Linked DNA regions of Saccharomyces cerevisiae S288C. The protein of the gene in region 2 interacts with the protein of the main gene of each other region in a biochemical or structural test. Each region holds a gene or a part of one and is shown on either strand. Other genes may lie near its edges.

Region 1 (4,496 bases), on a different chromosome or scaffold from region 2:
TTAATTTCGCAATTTGTTGATGAGAAGTTCTGGCTACCTTAGTCACTATTTATTTTACTATGGCGGTATAAGTTTCTCCCGCCTTGAAAAAAGGAATACAGTAATAAAATGAATATAAATCAGGATTTTTTGGATTTTAACTAGGTAACAAAGAATTAGCAAATAACTGCCCATAATAGTATTCTTAAGTTTGTAGATACATGTCAAGTAAGCCAGCTTTTGATAAAACTTAAAAATTGGTAAACCGCGGATGTACCAAGTGAATAGCTTTCAAAATTAATGTTGTCACTCTTCCAATGGGCACCTGTAAGAATAATTAAAAAGAAATCTAGGTTCAAAACAATATTTTTGAGAAAATCTCAGGAAGCGACAGGTTATCATCCCATACATACAATATGAATACAAAAGCATGGCAATTTTGAATAGATATAGCTCTAGAACCGCTCAGGCGAAAAAAAACGCTATATGAGAACTATTGAAAAGGAAGAACTAACATGAAAGATGTTTGTTCATTTCGTACCTTTAGAAAAAGGGTATTAATGCTAGGGGTAAATATTATATATTATCTTCGTTAAGGGCAAGACCATTTATTTTATTTAGTATTAGTTATTAATGGGGCCCAATCAATGGACTGGTAATTTCGTATTCGTATTTCTTTCTACTTTAATATTGGTTTAATCTACGGTAACAATTGTGGACTTCTGCTTCAAACCTTCCTTTATCAAAGTTAGTTTCTCTCTAAAGTTACTTTCTGGATATCCTGGGATCTCGCCATATTTTAGTACTTCAACTAAGGGATATGTGGTGCTTTCATGGGAGGGAGAAATGTAGGTCACCAATTTACCTCCGTCGGATATTGCCATTTTATGATGATCTTTGAAATTGAACTGGAAAGTACCATCACTTAGTTCAAACATAACAAATGGTTTATACCTTGTGTATCTTCTCAAAAATACATCATCTTTATGATATTCTTCTCTGCCAAACGTAGATACTCGGCTCAAATTTGCCTTCATGTACTTGGCAAAAAAATCAACTACTTCTAAATGTCTACTTAGCTCTCGTGGTTTTTCGCTCAATAAATAATGACTTGCTACCCAACCTTCCCGATCGTCATAACTAATATACCAAAACTCTTCTGCATCTGCCAATCGGAGAACTGTGGTGCCATTATTAAATAAGACACCAATATCCTCTGTTGATAACTGATAGGAGAATCCGTGTTTGTTGGAGTAGTCGACCCACTTGGTAACTATCATTGGGTGTTTAATTTTAGGCAATCTTGATTTCGGAAGACCTCCCATTTTATACTGAGCTTCTGCTTCTACAATGCCATTCAAAGTAAGATGACACTCACTGGCTAATATTCTCAAGGAGATTTCTGATTTAATGACATTGGTCGATGTAGCTATTAATTCTTTTCTCAAAACGGCCTGTTGTGCTCTACGTATCCTTGCTTCACGAGCCAAATCGTTTAATCTTCTTTGTGCCTCTATATCAACAACCTCCTTATATTTCTGTTTCGTCCCGCCAGGGGATAAAGAATGTGGTAAAAATGGTCTGTTTTGGTGGTACTCTTCTAGTTTATCGATACTAGATTTAATTGAAGAAATATAATCCCTCTTTTGACGCTGAATTTTATCGCTGCTCATGCTTTCTAATAGTAGAGATTTTTCCATGCAATCTTTGAAGTTAACCAGTGACTGCTCTTCAGGAATATCCTCAAAATTTGGTGCTTCTGACATGACCGTCGAAGGAATAGATGGTGGGAAAGTTCCCCTAAACCATACATAATCCATAATTTCAGTCAAAGAGGGCCTTTCTATTGGATCTAAGGATAGAATGTCTCTTATTAAAATCTTACCTTCATCTGAGATTGGTTTATCTCTTGGAAACGAAAAATCACGACATTTGATTCTTTCATAAATAGTGTTTACATCTCTTGCTTGGAAGGGTGGCTTACCAATCAACAAAGCATAAAGCATAACACCTAATGACCAAATATCTACTTCAAATGAATGTCCAGAATGCTTACCCATCAACACTTCAGGTGCGATGTAATTAGGTGTTCCGCATATGGTGTATTTACGTTCACTTTCATTCGCCAACACAGCTGCCAGACCGAAGTCACCAATCTTTAAGTTATAGTTTGAATCGAAGAAGATGTTACCAAGTTTTAAATCTCTATGTATAACTCTTCTTGAATGCATATACTTAATTGCACCACATATTTGAGTGGTGAAAAATCTAACTTCTGGTTCTGTTAAAACTTTTCTTCTTTTTAGTAATTCCATTAATGAACCGTTGGGGCATATCTCCAATAAGATATAGACATTGCTATCATCCTCAAAACAATCAATAAACTGAACGATATTTGGATGGGACATACTTTTATGAATTTGAATCTCCGACAACAACTTTTTTCTTGTCTTCTCTGATTTAATTGAGGCTTTAGCAACTGTTTTGGCAGCAAAAATTTCGCCTGAATCGTCCTTAATTTGGAAACAGCGAGCAAATCCACCTTCACCTAAAAAATGACCTCGGTGATAGTCTTTTCCTCTTGTTTTGATTAATGAAGGTGGTGTTTTACACAAAGCTGATAACTTTTCCCTTTTCTTTTTTTGAGCTGGCTGGTGGTGATGATCATTATTCGGATCTAGTCTCTTTGTTTGTTTAAAGTGATTTTCTTTTCCTACGAGGTCTGCGGTATTTCCCTTTATTGGGGTGTGAACTAACTTGGAACGGGTATTCAATTGCTTATCATTGATAGCTTTAAGAGGACCCAACGACATCTTTATTCGACTTGATCTTACTCTGTTCTTTCTTCTCCACGGCTGTGATTTTTATTCTCTATGAATAACAAATGTAACGTTTATCGATGAATGAAAGAGAGTATATATAGAGAAGATATAAGAAAGCCAATGTTTTTGTGTACAAAAAATAATACTCAGCTCAATTATACAAACTTGACTATGCAGTTTAGCTTTTTTGTCTTTTCTTTTTTAAGTTTTCTTGAAAGTTAATGTAGTATATGCCACAAAATTGAAGGATGAAAAAATAGGAAAAAAAGCAGAATCAGAATTTGACACAAAAGGCTTATTGTTCTTTGAAACTGCCGCTTGAATTGGATTTACTTTCTCAGTGATTCTATATGTATTGTACGAAAGTTGAGTAGCACAAGAGTAACTGTTCAAGATATGCCTTGTTTCAAAGGATGTACATTCAAAGATCATCCCAGGTCCTCGAGATATTTATTCGTTCTATATTTTGGATTTTCTTTATTGGGTTTGTTTTGTTTTGACCCTTTTAGGTAATATCTTTTGACAGAGAAAAGTCCAAAAGTTCTTCCGGGTGATGCTACATAATGCCCTACCCGGGCAACATATAGAATAAGGTATATAAAGTAATAATATGCAGTGAAGTTACCACCGGGTAACGCATCTAGAACAGCTGAGATGAAAGAGGATAGGCTTGATCGCAGATTTTGCCCGCCCTATCTTTTCAATGTTCCTTCAACAATAACATAAATTTTGATGTAAAAATATGCTGGCGTCCTCGTACGATTCCCTCTTCATTTATCACAGAAGATGGTGATGATTCTACACATCTGGAAGGCAATAACAGTGCAACTTCATTTTCCGAGGTTCGGTTATGTCATGTGTGCTTTTATACGGCAAACGCCACCTTGAACAAAGGTATAAAAGAAAAGCGCTTTTTCACTCCACCGCAATCTCCGCGACCTATATAAGCCTATCACTCGTACAGTTTATAACCTTTAAGAAAAAGGATTAATATTTCGAACAAAGAACAGAACAAGAAAAGCAACAACAGCAACAAAATTCTAAAATATGGCACGTTCAAGAGGATCATCAAGACCTATATCGAGATCGAGACCTACTCAGACAAGGTCCGCTTCTACCATGGCGGCTCCAGTTCATCCACAACAACAACAACAACCAAATGCCTATTCACACCCTCCTGCTGCAGGTGCCCAAACGAGACAGCCAGGTATGTTTGCGCAGATGGCCTCCACTGCTGCAGGTGTTGCCGTTGGTAGCACCATTGGACACACCCTAGGTGCAGGTATTACCGGTATGTTTTCCGGATCCGGGTCTGATTCCGCTCCTGTTGAGCAACAACAGCAAAATATGGCCAACACCTCCGGCCAAACCCAAACGGACCAGCAGTTGGGAAGAACTTGTGAAATAGACGCGAGAAACTTTACACGTTGTTTGGATGAAAACAACGGCAACTTCCAGATATGTGATTATTACTTGCAGCAACTAAAAGCCTGCCAGGAAGCTGCACGTCAATACTAAGTTTAAAAGCTCAAAAATTTAGAAAATATTCACTAAAATCATACATTTCGGTAATGTTCTTGTTTTAACCATGTCATTTGACTTATTTTTTTTTGATGGTTTTTCACAGAATCGCATACTCCACGTGAGAACAAGAAAAAATGAAAGGAATAAGGACTAAATGTCTTATATATATGG
Region 2 (11,898 bases):
CCCAAATGACCAATTGACTAACCAATCACCACACACACCCGCAGCTGTGTTGCGTGCGACGTTACCCAATGTTATGGTAATGGCTTGCTATATACTGACTCGTTCAGGTGAATAGAGAAAACCCGTATCACCGTAAACCCATCAGTGACCGTTTTAATTACCACAGCTGTTGCTAGCGAGTAAAAACCCTTTTCACCACTGGTATATAATATGTTCATCGTAAACAACCAATTGGCAACTATCCGGGAGGTCACGGCTGCGCTGCATACTTTTAAAACAGCTTGACGTGGATTAGACCAATTCACCATACGTTTGGAAAACATACTGGCCATTATCCAAGGTGTAAGTATAACGTCAAAGCTGCAATCAACTGTAGAATCTCTTCCTAACACATTTCTATATAACGCAACCAACATTATCATTGGAAATGGCATACAAACAACGCGTCTGAATAACCTTGCATCGTCCATGTTATTGCCTTTTCTACACCACGCAGCACCTCTTTAATGCAGCAGCCGTCACTATTTGCATTGACGCATGTCTTCATCCTTGAATGCCTGGCGATAGTATAGGTAAATTAGTTAAATACAGCTTTGAGTAATTAGGCATGTACTTCCTCTGATTTAGTGACAGGTTCAATTGTTAAAGTATTCCCATTAGGCCAAGTTAAAAAGCGAAATTTATTTTGTTTTACAGATTTCCATTGAGTTTTTATGCCTAAGGGCGTGTTTTTTCAGCTCGTAAAATCATGAAGTTGTAGCACGCTGGCTCACCATGACAATTCCAATGGTGCGGTTCAATCAATTCACTGAGGTAGAATGGTGGACCATGATATTCAGAAATAGGTAAGTCCTGAGGTAATGATTAGGATTTAACTGTTGACTCTATTATAAGGTATACAGAATATACTGGCATAAAACAAGGATCATTAACACGCTAAACAGGGTGTTGTTTAATATCATGAATGCGCAAATAAGCCCTTTTTGCTGCAGCAAACTTTATGTACCAAGATCTTAAAGGGACTCGTTACCAAGATGCGAGTGAGTAGTCTATTATTAGAGAGTAGATCAGCTTCCGCCGCTTCCTTTTTTAACGGGAAAAAAAGTAGAAGCTGGGACAACTTTTTCGCTGCCAATAATAATTAAAAAGAAGGACCCTTTTTTCATTATAGGTATATTTGTTAAATATTTCCATTCCTAAGACAATCAACAACGCAGTTATGCAAACCATCAAAGAGGGCAAATGAACTATTCCCGCTCTTCGTAAGGATGCTGTATTACCGCCGTTAGCCATCAGAATTACTATAAAAACAATGCGGTTAATTTTCATTGCGAAAATGCTTCAATATTCATTTCTACCATTTTCCCCGTTCAATCTTTTGAATTTTGATAATAGTATAAGCGTAAGCTGGTTTATAACATACTCAGTGATCGTTTCCATTTGGGGGTTTGCTGTGTGGATTGAAGGAGCATATAGGAATAAGATTAATCTACAGCTTCCAAGATGTACGAAGATAAAATGCTCCCGCTACAATACGAGAATAAAATCCCCCAAGTGGTTCAACTGTAAAAATTGGATGCATTTTTTCCTATTATACCTTTTTCTAACCGCTTCTAACTTAATTGTTCAATTGGCCTATTTTTCAAAAGAAATGTGTAGTCAGGGTATAAACGTTCCTGGAACGAAGAAACCAGGTAATAGAGTTTATTTATCGGTTATCATACTAATGGGGAACGGGTGATAGAACTTTTACCAATGAAAAGAAATCAGCAGGCCATAATTTGGCTTTATTAAAATTAATAACATTATGGTGCTGTTGCGTTTATTAAAACAGACTAAAGCTGTTGGAATGAAATTCTAATGTTATCTATTTAGTAGTAATAGCATCACATGCGGTGTAAGAGGATGGCGTAAATTATGAGAAGCTGTCATCGAGGTTAGAGGAAGCTGAAATACAAAAATTGATAATGTAATAGGAGAATGAAACATATAAAACGGAATGAGGAATAATCGTAATATTAGTATATAGAAATATAGATTCCATTATGAGGATTCCTAGATCCTCGAGGAGAACTTCTAGTATATTCCGTATACATAATATTATAAGCCTTTATCAACAATGGAACCCCCAACAATTATCTCAAAATTCACCCATATCTTAATTAGTAACATGAATAGTACTAAACAGATGATATTTTAAAGTTTCATTCCAACAAGCATCTTAAATGTGCTATTACTTCCTAAAATAAGTAGTTTTTCCAACGAAATAGCCTTGTTGGCGCAATCGGTAGCGCGTATGACTCTTAATCATAAGGTTAGGGGTTCGAGCCCCCTACAGGGCTATCTTTTTACCATTTTCAATTCAATAGAAAAATTAAATCATTAGAGACGGAAAACTGGTTGAAAACGCATCGATTGAGGACATTGAAAAGATGATTATGACCGATCTATGAAGCCATAAGATTACGTTAAGAATAGTTCTTTGTTACTGATTTCAAAAACTGTTTTTTTAGCCAAGAGTACCACTAATTGAATCAAAGAGACTAGAAGTGTGAAAGTCATGGATGTTGATTCTGACGTTAATGTCTCCAGGTTAAGAGATGAACTGCATAAGGTGGCAAACGAGGAAACAGATACCGCCACTTTCAATGATGATGCGCCATCCGGCGCCACCTGCCGTATTTGTCGTGGAGAAGCTACTGAGGACAATCCTCTTTTCCATCCTTGTAAATGCAGGGGCTCAATTAAATACATGCATGAATCCTGTCTGTTGGAATGGGTAGCTTCAAAAAATATAGACATTTCAAAACCAGGCGCGGATGTTAAATGTGACATCTGTCACTATCCCATTCAATTCAAAACGATATATGCGGAAAACATGCCCGAAAAGATACCTTTTTCTTTACTACTATCCAAGAGCATCTTGACATTTTTCGAAAAAGCTCGTTTGGCTTTAACGATTGGTTTGGCCGCTGTACTATATATTATCGGTGTTCCTTTGGTATGGAACATGTTTGGAAAATTATACACCATGATGCTAGATGGATCATCCCCTTATCCTGGTGATTTCCTAAAGAGTTTGATTTATGGTTATGATCAGTCAGCAACTCCAGAATTAACCACGAGAGCAATTTTTTACCAACTTTTACAAAACCATTCGTTTACGTCTTTACAATTTATTATGATAGTGATACTACATATAGCATTGTACTTTCAATACGATATGATAGTAAGAGAGGATGTTTTCAGTAAAATGGTTTTCCACAAGATAGGTCCAAGATTATCTCCCAAGGACTTGAAATCACGTTTGAAGGAAAGATTCCCCATGATGGATGATAGAATGGTTGAATATTTAGCGAGGGAAATGAGAGCTCATGACGAAAATCGTCAAGAGCAAGGTCATGATAGACTGAACATGCCAGCCGCAGCAGCAGATAATAATAATAATGTTATTAATCCCAGAAACGATAACGTTCCACCTCAGGATCCTAATGACCATCGGAATTTTGAAAACCTTCGCCACGTAGACGAATTAGATCATGATGAGGCTACGGAAGAGCACGAGAACAACGACTCTGACAATAGTTTACCATCAGGTGATGATTCGTCACGAATTTTACCGGGGTCTTCAAGTGACAACGAAGAAGATGAAGAAGCAGAGGGGCAACAGCAACAGCAGCAACCAGAAGAAGAGGCAGATTACCGTGATCATATAGAGCCCAATCCGATTGACATGTGGGCAAATCGTCGTGCGCAAAATGAATTTGATGACCTAATCGCTGCTCAACAGAACGCAATAAACAGGCCCAACGCTCCGGTTTTCATCCCACCACCTGCCCAAAACAGAGCTGGAAATGTCGATCAAGACGAACAAGACTTTGGCGCAGCTGTTGGTGTGCCACCAGCACAGGCTAACCCAGACGATCAAGGACAAGGCCCTCTAGTGATAAATCTCAAATTGAAATTGTTGAATGTCATTGCTTATTTCATAATTGCCGTAGTTTTCACCGCAATATACCTGGCAATTTCCTATTTGTTTCCAACTTTTATTGGGTTCGGTTTGTTGAAAATTTATTTTGGTATATTTAAGGTTATTTTGCGTGGGTTGTGCCATCTTTACTACTTGTCTGGCGCTCATATAGCTTACAATGGGCTGACGAAACTGGTCCCTAAAGTAGATGTCGCGATGAGTTGGATTTCAGACCACTTAATTCATGACATCATTTATCTTTACAACGGCTACACTGAAAACACCATGAAGCACTCAATTTTCATCAGAGCTTTACCTGCTTTAACGACGTATCTAACCTCAGTCAGTATCGTTTGTGCTTCATCCAATCTTGTCTCGAGGGGTTATGGCCGTGAGAACGGAATGAGCAACCCTACTAGAAGGCTGATTTTCCAGATTTTATTTGCACTCAAATGCACTTTCAAGGTGTTCACTTTATTTTTCATCGAATTGGCTGGATTCCCCATTCTAGCTGGTGTAATGCTAGATTTCTCATTATTTTGCCCAATCCTGGCATCCAATAGTCGGATGCTTTGGGTTCCTTCAATATGCGCAATATGGCCTCCATTTTCCCTTTTCGTATACTGGACGATTGGTACTCTCTACATGTATTGGTTTGCCAAATATATCGGAATGATTAGGAAAAATATCATTAGACCAGGTGTTCTATTCTTTATCAGATCTCCAGAAGATCCTAATATTAAGATCTTGCATGATAGTTTAATTCATCCGATGAGTATTCAATTATCAAGGCTTTGCTTATCCATGTTTATTTATGCGATTTTTATTGTCTTAGGTTTTGGCTTCCATACTAGAATTTTTTTCCCATTCATGCTCAAATCGAACTTATTATCCGTTCCTGAAGCTTATAAACCAACATCAATTATTTCATGGAAGTTCAATACAATTTTGCTAACTTTATATTTTACGAAGAGGATCCTGGAGTCTAGCTCTTACGTTAAACCCTTATTGGAAAGGTATTGGAAAACAATTTTTAAGTTATGTTCAAGAAAATTACGTTTATCATCCTTTATCTTAGGTAAAGATACCCCAACAGAGAGAGGCCATATTGTTTACCGCAATTTGTTTTACAAGTACATTGCTGCCAAGAATGCAGAATGGTCAAACCAAGAACTTTTCACTAAACCAAAGACTCTAGAACAAGCAGAAGAATTGTTTGGGCAAGTTCGTGACGTTCATGCTTATTTTGTCCCCGATGGCGTTTTAATGCGTGTTCCTTCTTCTGATATAGTATCCAGAAATTATGTACAAACAATGTTTGTCCCCGTTACAAAGGATGATAAGCTGTTGAAACCATTAGATTTGGAAAGAATTAAAGAGAGAAACAAACGTGCTGCTGGTGAATTTGGTTATTTAGACGAACAAAACACGGAATATGATCAATATTATATCGTTTACGTCCCTCCAGATTTCCGTTTACGCTATATGACATTGCTTGGCCTGGTTTGGTTATTTGCTTCCATTTTAATGCTTGGTGTTACATTTATTAGTCAAGCTTTAATAAACTTTGTTTGTAGTTTCGGCTTTCTTCCAGTCGTAAAGCTATTGTTAGGTGAAAGAAATAAGGTCTATGTTGCATGGAAGGAACTCTCTGACATTAGCTACTCCTATTTGAACATTTATTATGTCTGTGTCGGATCTGTTTGTTTATCCAAGATTGCTAAGGATATTCTTCATTTTACAGAAGGCCAAAACACTCTCGATGAACATGCCGTTGACGAAAACGAAGTAGAGGAAGTGGAACACGATATACCAGAGAGAGATATCAACAATGCCCCTGTTAATAATATCAATAATGTGGAAGAGGGTCAAGGAATTTTCATGGCCATCTTTAACAGTATATTTGATAGTATGTTGGTGAAGTATAACCTGATGGTGTTTATAGCTATCATGATTGCGGTTATTAGAACTATGGTTTCGTGGGTCGTCTTAACCGATGGTATACTAGCCTGTTACAATTATCTCACCATCAGAGTGTTTGGCAATTCTTCATACACTATTGGTAATTCCAAATGGTTTAAATATGACGAGAGTTTGTTATTCGTCGTTTGGATCATTTCGTCAATGGTCAATTTCGGAACCGGATATAAGTCATTGAAACTATTTTTCAGAAACAGAAATACTAGTAAATTGAACTTCTTGAAAACAATGGCTTTGGAACTGTTTAAACAAGGTTTCCTGCACATGGTAATTTACGTCTTGCCGATTATTATTTTATCCTTAGTATTTTTACGTGATGTTTCTACAAAGCAGATTATCGATATTAGCCATGGATCCAGGAGTTTCACTTTATCGCTTAACGAATCATTCCCAACATGGACAAGGATGCAAGATATTTATTTCGGACTACTGATAGCATTAGAGTCATTTACGTTCTTTTTCCAAGCAACTGTGCTGTTCATTCAATGGTTCAAAAGTACTGTACAGAATGTAAAAGACGAGGTTTACACTAAGGGTAGAGCTTTAGAAAATTTACCAGATGAAAGTTAAAGGCGTTTTCTTCCTTACATTTAAAATGAATGCTAGCATATTTACATATATATATCTACATTAAGTTATATGTTTTTCCACTGTTTTATTTCTTATTGTTAGAATTATAGAAAAAAAATTTTTGTAAAACATTTCATTAGAAAAATTTACCATTCTGAATACGAAAGAACAAAATAAAAAATATGCCTATTTATGTGAGTATGTATATTACTAGTTATTTTATTGCTGTTACTATTATTATGCGAGAATGTTAAAAAAATAAAAATAAAGAGGAAAAGAATAAAAAATATAAAACTATGCGTGCGAGTGCTTTCAAGGGTCTTCATCTTCCAAGAGTATAGGATTATCTCTGCCCTCATCCCAAACAGAATCTTGAGACTGGTTATTTTCATCTCCATAATTAGAGAGAAGTTGTGCATTTGATCCCTTGCTTGTCGCGCTGGTTCTTGGAATACCCCTAGTTGGACTACTAAATGCCACATCATCAATATCAACCAACTTTTCGTTCAGTTCTTTGTCAACATTTTGAAGTATTTTACCAAGACTGTCATTATTACCATTACTTTCCTGAGTGTTGTCATGATTTTTTTCCGCTACATTAGGTAGTGAACTACCAATTAAATTGACGTCCGAGTCATCCCTGTTAACAATACCACTAGTATTTTTACTTTCAGAATTCACTCCTAACCTCGAATCTTGTTCTGTATCTGAAATTACAATGTTGGTATTATTGGGACTAGATTGGCGTTCCATAGAATCAGTCGATAGAGATTGAACATGCGAGGAAAGTTGTGGGATTTTTTTGCTTGGGTAAATCCTTTTAGGTTTAGGCGACGGCATCATAATATCATGGGTGGATGACAGGGCTTGATCGTTTTTTATTGGTGACGAAACGCCTTCAAACTGCTTAGCCCTCGTCTTTAAAGACGGCCTTCCAAAGTATGGTGACGTAAATTCTTCTTGTTCAGTTTCATTCGCACTTTCTGATATGAAAGGAGATGAACTCTTTAAAATATTGTGACGTATGGGAGGAGAAACGGATGCTGTTTCTGGAGAAGCAGCGCGAACGGGATCTTCATTATCAGTTATTATTTCACCGGTGGGCTGTCGTACTACGGAATTATGCAACTCTGTCGGCTCTCTTTCTGTTGTTGAAATACTGGATGATCGTGAGCAGGGAGGTTCCGAGGTTAACTGCGCGTTATTATCTTTACTGCTTTGATCTATATTTTCAATGATTTGAATTTCTTCATCGTCATCGTCGTAATTTTCATTATTGTTGATATTGGTGCTTTTTTTCTCCTCCATTTGCATAACTTCTTCATATAAATTTTCTTTTTTCAGATAGCTGATGTAATTGAGTTGTAAGAGTTTTAGAGTATGCCTTAAATTCTTTCTCGCACTATTTCTTTCATTTTTATCAAAATATTTATTAATCATTTTTGCGGTGAAGTGCTTACTTTTAATCTTAGAATTCTTCCATACATCAATTGTTTCCACCGGATTTTCAAAAAATTTTCTAATATTCAAAATAACATGAACACCACAATCGCTCATATTAGGTTGTTGTGGAACTGGACACGTTTTCATTTTGATTTGTGTTTTATCCAGTTGAATTGAATATTTATCAAGTGCATAGGATATGAGAAATTCTTTTATTGGATCAATTTCTCTTGAATGAGTTTGCCTCAACGAGTCGAAAGTCAAAATATTAACCAGAGGATTATTTATAGAAATCTCATCGGAGTTGATGGCATCGTTTTTATCTTTGTTTTGATGAAAATCCAAGATCGCATCCAAGTTTGTTATAATGCAACTAAACCAATGATAACTTATGTTAATTGGTATAACAACGTACTTTTTAGAAAACAAATCAGTATTGTTAACCCACTTTTTTACATTAGAATAATAATCTGCTGGATTACTAATTAGTTTCGTGTAAAAAAAAGAGGACATTAAGTGAACTTGCTCTCTTTTGATAATTGACTTTTCAATAGATGATTCAATGTAAAATTTTGTAAAAAAATCCAAAATGCTATCATTAACCCAATCCTTATTGAAAAGACACTTGAAATCTTGATTTGTTATAGTATAGCTTGAACCATCGTTGAATTTGTAACAGAGGCTAGGTTTAAACAGTTCTGGTGTTTCAAATTCCGTAGTTGCATCATCAAATTCTGAATTTGAATTTGAGTTTGCTGGATCCGAAACATCTTTAAATCTATTTGAACGTCTTAGTTGTGAAACTGCGTGGGATTGTAAAGTTTCTGTCCCGTTAGTGTTGTAGAAATCTGAGGGTGAAATATTCGATTTTGGAACAGATATTGAATGCTCTTTTTTCCCAAGGCTGGCAATACGAGTCCTTTTTGTTAAGGATTGCAAACCATGAGGTTTGTTTGATAAGAAATGAGTATGAATTTGCGGACTTTCATCATCATTAGTAGAAAGTTTAGTTTTTTTAAGTCTTAAAGAGTCGAATGCATTTTTAGTGGAGTTTATTGCCCTTTCCATGTTCAATGAAGGTGATGACGAAGAAATAGGATGAATCAGATGTTTTAGTCTTTCCAAAATCTGCTCTTTATGATCTAAAATTTCGACTTTTATCGACGAAGAATATGACATCAACAGGAATCTTTTAATAGACTTTATTTTTTTATTTGAAGCGGAGCTTGCAGTGGACCATATCAAGATGTTCGTGTTAATGTTGATTGAAGAGTTATTCACGTCTAGTATCATCTTGACCTTTTTCAGATCTTTTAAAATTATAGCCATAAAAGAGTTCTTCTTATCTAAAATTATCAATTCAACATCATCAAGCAGATTAACTTGTGAATTGTAGATCACCGATTGTTGAAAATACAATGAAAATTTCGGATGATTATGATCTGAGACAAAAGTCATTATGCATGGTGCTTTATGCCGATAAATTCGCAATGTTTTCGAATCAACGCAAGAAAATTGGCCGTTCAAATTTAGTTTAGTGGAAATAATTGAGCCATTTGGAGAAGTGCTCGCTACTGCCGGTTCCGGTGAACCATTCCCCAGATTATTAGACATTTGGAACAAAAGACCATTGGAAGTGCTTTTGAGTGATGAGTGTCTTTTCAAAGGAGAGCTTTGCAAAGGTTCAAAATCTTGATCTGAACAGCCACTGTTGACGCCTTCACCTTCATCATTATTATCAACATCATTATCCGACAATTCGATCTGCCTCTTACTCTCGCTGTTCATACTCAAAACTGGTAAGAAATCCTTTGTAGAAGCATTGTTTAGATGATCAACGATTTTCGGATCCTTACGAAAAGTGTTATATCTTTTGGGCGGTAGAGAAGCAGAGGACCTTGGAGAGCTGGCACGAGAGCTGTTCAAGGTGTCTAGCGGTTTGAGACTATTAAACTTGCGTTTTCTGGCAGACATATATGTGGGGTTTGATGTGCAATAAACATAGATATACGTGTATTATTGCACCTGGGTATGGGGTATACTGTGTAGTGTCCTTTTATCCCGCTCTTTATTTCTCTCTCTAAGAAGAAACGAATACACTGTAATGTAATTGGTTGTGATGTTTTATCTCTCTCTGATGACGTGATATCTTTTATGTTGTTTCACGATGTTCTCTTATTGTATTGTATAATAGTTTCTCTTAGTAGGAAGATAGAAAAAGGACAAAGAAGGCAAAGAACCAAATGTCATTTCTAACGACACGGCACGTGATTACTGATCTGATAATAAATGAAACAAGCCATACGTGAGAAAGTAAAAAAAAAAAGGAGGAGGGAAAAGAATACGAGTGGAAAATATAAAGGACTTTATATACTTTTCAGATTAGCCGCCGACGATTTTACTTACTCAGCTTTTTTCTATCTTTCAAAACGCTCAAAAGAGGAGCATACGACTTCGGCGGCTAATCTTCACCCAAGAAAAAAAAAGCGCATGCCACCACGACGAGCGGAAAAAAACAAAGCACCCAATCACCACCCTTCCTTCTTTCTTCGTGTTATACCCGCCACTTTTGTTCTGCCTGATAATATATTGATTATACTGTGCTCGGATTCCGACCTCTTCTTTGTTGCAGAAGCCATAAGCTGAACTTATTGCATTTGCTCAAGTGCATTTATTATGGCGCCGCGCCGCCGCTCTCCAAAATTCTTGTCCTTCCTCGTTTTGCTGGCAAGGAGCAAAACGAAGAGGAAGGTAGAAAAGAGAAAATTTGAACAAACAGGGAAAAGGGAAAGAGAAAAAGGGACACTTTACGCTTTCCTCGACTAAGTCAAGCGATCGCTATCATCACATCCATTACACGCATTTCACGCATACATAAATAGGAAGATCATTTACAACAAGCAGATTATTTTCAAAAGACAACAGTAAGAATAAACGATGGTATCTTCTTTGCCCAAGGAATCGCAAGCCGAATTGCAACTGTTCCAGAACGAAATCAACGCCGCTAATCCGTCCGACTTTCTTCAGTTCTCCGCCAACTATTTCAATAAAAGGCTGGAACAACAGAGAGCGTTCCTCAAGGCCAGGGAGCCTGAATTTAAGGCAAAGAACATTGTTCTATTTCCGGAACCAGAGGAGTCATTTTCCAGACCTCAATCAGCTCAATCTCAATCAAGATCCAGATCGAGTGTTATGTTCAAATCCCCCTTTGTGAACGAGGACCCACACTCCAACGTGTTTAAAAGTGGGTTTAATTTAGACCCGCACGAACAGGACACTCACCAGCAAGCACAGGAAGAACAACAGCATACTAGAGAAAAGACATCAACTCCTCCACTCCCAATGCACTTCAACGCCCAAAGGCGTACTTCTGTTAGTGGTGAGACCTTACAACCAAACAATTTTGACGATTGGACTCCAGATCACTATAAGGAAAAGTCCGAGCAGCAATTGCAAAGACTGGAAAAATCGATCCGTAATAACTTTCTGTTCAACAAGCTGGATTCCGACTCAAAAAGGCTGGTCATAAATTGTCTGGAGGAGAAGTCCGTCCCCAAAGGTGCTACGATAATCAAGCAAGGTGACCAAGGGGACTACTTCTATGTCGTCGAAAAGGGTACTGTTGACTTCTACGTCAACGACAACAAGGTCAACTCTTCCGGGCCAGGCTCCAGTTTCGGGGAACTTGCTCTTATGTACAACAGCCCTCGTGCTGCCACCGTTGTAGCAACCTCCGACTGTTTGTTGTGGGCTCTAGACAGGCTCACCTTCAGAAAAATACTTTTGGGCAGCTCTTTCAAGAAGAGACTCATGTATGACGATCTTTTGAAGAGCATGCCAGTTTTGAAGAGTTTGACTACGTACGACCGTGCCAAACTTGCCGATGCACTGGATACCAAGATCTACCAGCCGGGTGAAACAATCATTCGCGAGGG

What was found.
Region 1: of the proteins of ULP2 (region 2) and CDC5, one has a biochemical effect on the other in vitro, tested with the Saccharomyces cerevisiae proteins (2 studies listed by BioGRID).

The regions. Positions count from the first base shown.
Region 1 is NC_001145.3:268,345-272,840, forward strand, and holds CDC5 (polo kinase CDC5), read right to left. Parts: upstream 2,793-4,496; coding exon 675-2,792; downstream 1-674. Other genes in the region: YMR001C-A (uncharacterized protein), read right to left, coding at 3,003-3,233; MIX17 (Mix17p), read left to right, coding at 3,849-4,319. UniProt on the Saccharomyces cerevisiae protein: Protein kinase required for the cell cycle where it is involved in mitotic exit. A component of the fear (CDC14 early anaphase release) network which promotes CDC14 release from the nucleolus during early anaphase. Phosphorylates SCC1/MCD1 and NET1.
Region 2 is NC_001141.2:290,672-302,569, reverse strand, and holds ULP2 (SUMO protease ULP2), read right to left. Parts: upstream 9,938-11,898; coding exon 6,833-9,937; downstream 1-6,832. Other genes in the region: EMA17 (Ema17p), read left to right, coding at 1,313-1,741; E3 ubiquitin-protein ligase SSM4, read left to right, coding at 2,561-6,520; cAMP-dependent protein kinase regulatory subunit BCY1, read left to right, coding at 10,901-11,898. UniProt on the Saccharomyces cerevisiae protein: Insertion mutation in SMT4 confers temperature and benomyl sensitivity; high copy suppressor of a temperature sensitive mutation in MIF2.